Tribolium castaneum: one gene and its partner. The protein of the gene in region 2 purifies or fractionates together with the protein of the main gene of each other region. This does not show direct contact. Links are inferred from orthologs where the notes say so. Each region holds a gene or a part of one and is shown on either strand. Other genes may lie near its edges.

What was found.
Region 1: the proteins of Sdc (region 2) and AMPdeam purify together in Homo sapiens (co-immunoprecipitation; 3 studies listed by BioGRID and IntAct, counting the BioPlex papers as one, with this or other methods). This does not show direct contact. The link is inferred for Tribolium castaneum from reciprocal best matches to the Homo sapiens genes SDC2 and AMPD2.

What each region holds. Positions count from the first base shown.
Region 1 is NC_087396.1:12,801,490-12,805,315, forward strand, and holds the end of AMPdeam (AMP deaminase 2), read right to left. Parts: coding exon 3,670-3,826; intron 2,071-3,669; coding exon 1,206-2,070; 3' UTR 635-1,205; downstream 1-634. Other genes in the region: nose resistant to fluoxetine protein 6, read left to right, coding at 1-172. UniProt on the Homo sapiens protein: AMP deaminase plays a critical role in energy metabolism. Catalyzes the deamination of AMP to IMP and plays an important role in the purine nucleotide cycle.
Region 2 is NC_087403.1:6,250,935-6,255,490, reverse strand, and holds the start of Sdc (syndecan), read right to left. Parts: upstream 3,063-4,556; 5' UTR 2,926-3,062; coding exon 2,860-2,925; intron 1-2,859. Other genes in the region: ATPase inhibitor mai-2, mitochondrial, read right to left, coding at 4,004-4,135, 4,183-4,324, 4,403-4,455. UniProt on the Homo sapiens protein: Cell surface proteoglycan which regulates dendritic arbor morphogenesis.

The DNA of each region.
Region 1 (3,826 bases), on a different chromosome or scaffold from region 2:
GGGTGATACGGTTTTGTCATTTCTGACCGCAACTGGGTTGTATCTGTTAGTTGAAGCACCTTTCAGGAAGATTTTCAGACAACTGTTGATGCCAAATAGGGTCAGTCCACCAGAAACGAAACAAGAGTCGAGAGAAAATGTCAGCAATGGTGTCACTGATAGTAGGCTGTAGTAACTCACCTTTTCTCCTCGAATTAATTTATCAAAACAAGTAGTATTTAATGGTAGATTTATGTGTACTTTAATTTTGTATGAGAAATGTTACTAAATAACAAAATAAAGTTTTTTAATTTACCTACACCTTTTTCCTTCTTCACAGAATTTTTTTGAGAAATGATCACATTTTTAAAGTTTTTGATGATGTATTAATTATTTTTTTTGATATTAATAATAATAAGAAACGCCGCAAAATCCTTTTTTTTTTTCTTGTATAGTTTTAATAATTTTAAAGTCCGTTTTTTATCACTTAAAAAAATTTATTTTTACAAATTTTTTTCAATTCTCTACTAATTTCTTTCATCAGCGTTTACAAACAAAATATCGGCTTCATTTCAGCAATGTGCTAGAGTCAAAAATGACTTTTTTTTCAATTTCTTTTGGTAAACAGTGGTGGAGGTGCAAAAAATACACAGGAATGCTTTGATAACTTTATTCTCATTTCAGAGTACGTACAATATAATCGGCTATATATTTAACAACAGGGCACAAATTCTAGTTATTGGTCATTTTTTTATTATATTTTTCAATTATTTGGCTTTTTATTTAATAATCTCTAAGTCAGTCAATAACGGATGGCTAAAGATATACGATTAAAGAGCCAAATGCAAAATTTTACGAAGTGCAATTAAGTTAGAAATTTCATAATTACGATTAATAAAAACTTAAAATAACAAGTTCCAACATTAATCTAACACTTAAGAATACCGAAGACTTCGTCACGCGCTCCGAGGACCGGAAATAAAATTTCGGCGAGACTTAACAATGATCAAACATCGACTAGCGTCAGCAAAAACAATCACTTGTTAAACTCTTTATAAAAATATAAGAAACTGTTCTAGTCGTAAGGCGTATCTCATCACAACTCGAATTGAATTATTTCACTTACCACTTACACGAAAATATATTTGCTTAAATGAAACCTGCCTATACATATAAAAAATAATTTATAAAATTTGTAAACTTAACCGAAAACGCCAACACCTCGTTCAAGCCGAATTTGGTTCCGGCTGAGCTTTGAAAATATTCGACAGTTCGTCAATCAGGGTTTCGTACCTAAATGCCACCCTTATGTCCGGCACGTTGGTCCTGGCGATGTCGTTCCCAGCCACGCCCTCCTTGGTGTAGTTGGGCCCCAGCCAGTACTGCTTGATCTTGTGCGGGAACCCGGACATGAGCACGCTGTTGCGCGCCAGCTCGCACATGTCGCAACTGGACAGCTTCCACACTTGGGCCGCAATGCTGTACTCCTCCATCAGGGGCTCCTTGGTGAAGTGGAACTGCAGCGGGTCGTCCGTGGACAGCGACACGACCAGCCCCCGCGACAGGTACTCCGGGAGCGGGTTCCGGTGGTAGTTCAAAAACAGGCTGTTATTGGACAGCGGACTCATCGCAATCCCGATCTGGGCCAAGTAGTACAAGTACTGCAAAACCGGGACTTTGCGCAGCAACAAGCCGTGCGAAATGTTCTCGGACAGCATGTAGCCGCACACGAGGTGCTGCACAGGGCCGGCTTCGCCGCAATGCGGGCGCAGGACGAACGTCGGGAGGCCCTTCTCGGCCCGGAAGTGGTTGAGTACGGCCATGTTGGCGTACATGTAGTATTGGTAGTAGGCGTAGTTCGGGTTTTCGTCGTCGTTCCAGTTTTCCGGTTTCGGGAGGTCTTTGTCGAAAAGCGGGTTTTTCTCGGGCTTGCTTTCGTCGTCCACGGAGTCAAAGCCGATGACATACTCCAGGAAGCGGTGCAGTTCCGGGTGGGAGCTCGGTCGCGCTGTCACCTCGAGCAGAGGCAGGAAAATATTGTCGATGACTTGTTGGAAGTTTTGGAGGAGTTTGTTTAGCTTGAAGATGTCGCTAGAGGGAGAAATTCGGTTAACAATTCGGGAAAGTCGGGATTTAGACAGAGCTGAGAATCGTAGTTAGCTACCAGCTAAACTATGTCTAAAATTTGAGTAAATGTATCTTAAGTACGATATAATAACAATTTATTTAGTATACATGTGCAGTGATTAAAACAATTTATTTAAAATGTGAGGCATTGACTGGAAAATTTAGTATTTTAGAGCAGTGCTGTAAGGTATTATTCATCATAATTCAAAAGAATTCTTCGTCTAAAACTCGCTGAATTACAAGTAAATTACGTTACTGCAATTTAATCACGTTAGATTGTAAAAAGTAGAAACAGCATGGACTTAAGCTTTTCAGAGCCCTGGACGCAGGTCATTTGACACATTTTTTTCCAATTTATTCGAAACGGACACTCTGTATATTGTTGCTAAGGTTCTCAGAAACTTACGATATTTTTTCATGCGATTTGAACTTATTTTTTTTATAGAAAATAAATAAATAGAGTTTTTAACCCGTTTAAACTCGGTTACAAATATTTAAAACGAGATACAAACTGATCTGTGGTCAATTTAAGAACAACAGCCTATTGTAAAAAAAATATTTTGTTTATTAGGTACTTTTTAATTTACTTGCTTATTTATTTACTCTCCTTAAAAACTCAATTTCAAACTTTGCGTTTATGCGCTTGTTGAAACAGCTTGTCTTCAGACCTTCTCAGGATAGTTCAACCATAACAAATAATTTAATATCTTCATATATTATCTTTGTTTAACGAATTTGTTAACTGTTTACTGGCGTGATTTCAGCTAATAAGTCTGGATAAATTAGCTCATTATTGAACAAAAAATTATAATAATTTAACCAATTTTAAACTATTTAGCGCAGAAATAAACAACTCTTCGTCTATCCACCCTTTTTTTGGACCCCATATTGTTTATCATAGATAGATAATAAAGATATCTACAGGTAAATCTGTTAAAATATAAAATAACGGAAGAGCAAATCAAATTGGTTTTTAAAATTAATGTTAAATTTAAACCTTTATCTCTTACTACTGTAAATTTAATGCATCAAAGGCCAGTTTATAGAAAGCTCAATTAAAGTCAATTGCGCTGTTAAAAGTTAAACATAGACCAATCAAATTGCTTCAATTTGGTCATGTGACCAGTTATCACGCATAATTCTTTGTTTTGTTTTTTAATTTGGCTTGTACGATTATTTTTTATATTGAATGTGCAGAGTTTAACAATTAAATATGCAAAGTAGATTTTTTCTAATCAAGTTCGTTTGTTTTTTTATGCTTACATAGTTTTATTTCTCTGTAAAAGAACAAATCAAATCCATCAACAATGAATAATTTTCATAATGCAATTACAATTGCGTTTCGTTCGTGAGATGATGTCGCAACGTGTAAAAATATTCATATCATAAAAAGCACTAATACATATTATGAGTATATGGTAAAAATTTAGAAAACAAAATTTTCTTTGTGCATTTACGAGTAGTTATGGGAAATAAATACGCTTGGTTTTTGAGGCATGAAGTTACAAATTATTATTAAAAAAATATTAGTGGTAGCTAAACTACTTCTTTTGAAATACTTACAAAAGCCGAGGAACTTGGATTAGCCAGCGAACGTTGTCTGAGTAGACATTGGAACCAATGGCCCATTTGGCCAATTTGTCCCACTCGTCCCTGCTTTTGCCGTAAATGCTCAAACGGAGCTCGGCATTCTGATATTTCGATTCCTCCAAATCGCTGC
Region 2 (4,556 bases):
CTTGCAGTCCTATATTTCAATTTAGCTTCGTTCGGTTAAAAATGACATTGATGAATAACACTTCGAACGACATGAATTGCTATCAAATATGTTGTTTATTAAATGCGGAGTCGGCGGGAACAGTAGCCAAACTATCGATTCGTATTATTTTGTGGACGGGGAAGTCCGTCTACGCCAATACAGATAGCTTCAAAAACCTCCGTCACTTAAAAATCGCCGGAAACGAGACTCATTTGTTTTCTATTTTGGATGAACTGTTCTTATTTTTGATCATATCGTTAGTAATTTTTCGATAAATATTGAGATTGTTGGCAAGCATCTCGCTTAGGTGACTATCTGTACTGAGTAAACATCCGATTGATACTGCAACAACGTTGTATCAATAACAGGCGTAACAATGCAGGATTTCTTACATTAGCGGAAATGAAACTCTTTGTGGTTAAAATGACAGTAACATCGCAACCGAAGTATTGATCATTTTTGTAAAACCACCCAAAAAGCAAAGTTGGAAGTAAACAATAAACATACGACCCGCACATTACTAAAGTAACCATTTCCAAAAATACCTCACAAATAAACAGCGCTTCACTGCTTATACCCTAACCAAGTTTTTGTTCCTTACCTTGGAAACACAAGCGTCCTTGATTTATAATAAAGGAATACAGCGAACAATAAAAATAATGATAAATCGCGGGGTCTTAGTGTCATCGGCGACACAAAGTTCCTTTAATCTCTCGCAAGGGCATTACCGAGCAAAAAGGAGAATCTCTCTGGACGCATCACATAAATCAAAAATATTAACAAATTATGGATTGTTTAAAAACAATTCAATTTTGATAAAAGTTTAATTGTTACGGGGTGGACACATTCGAATTATTTATGGCCTGAATTGACACGGTACTGCTAAAATATTCATCGATGCAAAAATAGCCTTCGTATACGCTTCCATTTTAATGAAACAATTTTAATGGTAAATGTGTTACGTAAGCAATTATGATTTCTTTTTAATGGCAACTTCACCCCAATGATAAATTCAAGCAATGATATTTAATACAATTATATAATCACGAAACACTCGAATTAGTAATAAATGTCCCGACATGAGATAACACTGATTTTAGTAATAATCATGCATTATCGGTGCTAATCGAATTTGTTAAGCTTAATGCTAACTACAGGAGTCTGACATAAAAGTGATAATAAACTATCCCATGCAGTTAAGTCCGTTTTAATTACGATTTAATAAATGAATAAATAGGATGAAATATTCATTTAACTAAATTACAACCTGACAGCATGCTTTATCGTCCACCACATTAAACTGGAATTGCTCTACTGCCAATTCGCCAATTTATGTACTAAATAAATCCCGATTTTGCCAACTTTTCAAACTGACCAATTCAGTTTTCTCCGAAAGCACGGAGACATGTTAATGCTATTTTTGGTTCCCCATCAATAAAATAACGACATGACCTGTTACGGTAGCTGTAAAATCTCCATTGACTGAAATTCTCACGAAAATCATGATACGTTTCAAGTGCTTGTGAAAAACCTCCGCCTTGCGTATTTTTCCGCAAAAATGATACAGATGTGCTGAAGCAGATTTAAGGCGACCTTCAATCTTGCACAAAACTGTATCCCTTGATTCAATCAGACTGTATGAATAAATACGTCTATACGAGAACACTCCTTGATGTATTAATAGAAATGAAAACAATTTCTTCGCTTTAGTCACGAAAATCAGATGCAAAAATGAATCGCGGAGTTAAATACCACGAACCACCAGTATATTACATCTGGAATTAGCAAACCTCACCCCATTTTCTCTCAAAAGCAAATTAGTGGAATAGAAGAGATAAGTAAATTACCTACAAAGGTGAAAATCTTAACAGAGGGTGTTGTTATGATCTCCCTTGCGATACATCATTAAAACCTCTTTTGACAGATTTTACAGCATCACAATTTGCGTTAATTTTAAATATACATTTCCAGGCTGATAATTTTCTGCGACCAAATTAAATAAGAATATTTATGCGCGTTTCAAGTGAATACACTTCGTTAGGAATTAAAATGTTTAACATGCAATTCTAATTTGTAATTCCATTTAATTATCCCTAATTCCGCTCAAATGAGCATTGTTGCAATTAAAAATTATGGAAACAAAATGTAGCAAGATGGATATACATCTCGAAACGAGTTTTTACGCATCATTTCTTCCATTTACTACTACATTATAAATAATTTATAAGTGTGATTATTTTAAGTTACGTAAAAAAGCAGTCTTTGTCAAAACGCTTAGTGCAAGCTTAATTTATGGAATTTATGAGGTAGGGATGCAGCAAAATATTTCTTCAGTTTTGCAATGGTTGTAACAGGAGGCTTCGTTCGGTTTTAATGGAATGTTTCATTAGAAGTAATTAATTATGCAAAATGCTTATCAATGACGAAGTCCTTGTGTTTGTCCATTTGCTGATTGATTTTTCGGAATATTGGCGATATTTACGATCCGTAGAAAAGGAAGAAGTTTTATGATCTTGTAAAATGATTTATTTGGCCGACTAAAGGTTGGCATTAAATTAAAATCAGTAAAAGCGCGTAAACAAAATACCATCTGCAGGAGCGATGATTTTTTTGGAAGGCGAATGCCGTCTGTCCGGAAAATCGAAATTATAGATGATACAATGTAAACATTTTCGTATGCGTCTCGTCATTGTTATTAATTTGCGTTCGTGCACATTAACATAAATATTTTTGACGCGCTTTCGCCAAGAAAAAACCTCAAAGCTCGGACGAGCTCCAACATTTAAGACACAAGTTTAGGCCCCGAACGAGTAGGAATGATGAACATTTGTAACTTACCTGTGCTGCTGTCGCAAATCCAAATAGGATTGCACAACATAATAATGAACATATCCTTAAATACATCACTAAAAACAGTTTTTACTAGTCGAATTAACTCGACTATTTGTTTTTATTTCTGTAACTTAATATGGCACGGTTACCCCACAGCAAGCAACAAACGCATACAGTGTACTAGCTGATCAATGAGAAATACAACTACGGGTTGTCGAGTTACCGACTGGGTTCGGTCATTTTACAGCTCAAGCGCACACCGGCGCCAATTTCGAATTTGCCACCCAGCGGATGGCAACACTGCATTTTTTATGCTGAAGGGCCGCCATTACCGCCAATTATTTCAAAAAAACATGATATTAAGTGCTTAAAACAAGAATCTAACCTTTAAAAAGCTATCCTAAAAAAGGCTTATATAACTTTTTGTTATAGAAAGTTTTAACTTAGTTGTATGTCTTTTACCACTACCCAAAAAAAGATCTGACTCTTTTGAATCACCCTGTATACTTATGCCACGTAAAATTTATTTACATATACAAAACAATATTATTATGCCTTTTTTCTTCCTATAGACTGGTCATTGCGGAACATTGGGGGTGTGTTTTGTACACGTTGTAACAAGTTTTTTGAGTTATTTCATGTTTCTACCGCACACAAGCTCGCAATGCGACTTTAAAGCTCGCAATCGACTTTAAAGCTCGCAATCGACTTTAAAGCTCGCAATCGACTTTAAAGCTCGCAATCGACTTTAAAGCTCGCAATCGACTTTAAAGCTCGCAATGCGACTTTAAAGCTCGCAATGCGACTTTAAAACTCGCAATGCAACATTAAAGCACGCAATACGACTTTTAAAGCTCGCAATGCGACTATTTACTTAAGGTCCAAGATTTTATTAATTTAACAGTTTGAAAAATTTGTGATCGTGGCCCTTTAAGGGCATCGTAGTACGCAGTGTCAAACACTAAACAAATATTACGTAACCATCATTTTTATCGAAAAAATAAATATGGTGTGCCACACACAATTGAGAAAAACACACAGTGAAGGCGATAATATTTATTTGAAAATAATACCTATATCATACAGTAAACGTGAACATATTTTCCAATCTAAGAAATCTACTTTCAAGCTGTGGAACTCAAATATGAAATTACTCCTTGTCGATTTCGGTGACTCTCTGCTTGTGGCGATTGATCGCATCTTGATGTCTCTTGATTTGCTCCTCGTGGAAATTAATTTCGTTCTTTAAATCGTCTTTCAGTTTCGATAACTGTTCCCTTTGCTTAAAAAAAACTATAAACAAATCTATTATTAGCCGGTGCATCTAACCTTTTTATAGAAATACTCCTCTTCCTTGGCGGCTTCAGCCTTGCCGAAGGCACCCCCGGCTTCGCGAATTGTGCCGCCGCCGCCGCCCCCTTTCCCAGCCCCGCTCCCTAAATCGCCAAGCTGTGACATTAATCGAAACTGTCTGAAATAAAAATATGACAATATTATGTAAGACGATGACTGGAAGGCACTAAGTGGTGCAGTTTGCACCTGCACCTACTTCGGAGCTTTCGATGCCTCCAGAAGGGTTCGCGGGTTACGCAAAAAGCTCATTTCGTACTTTGCGAGAAGTTTGTGCCGCAAAATCACCTGGACTTCGTGTGACAACTTTTCACCAACTCCTGAATGTCAAAGTGTCAAATTCACCGGTAAGC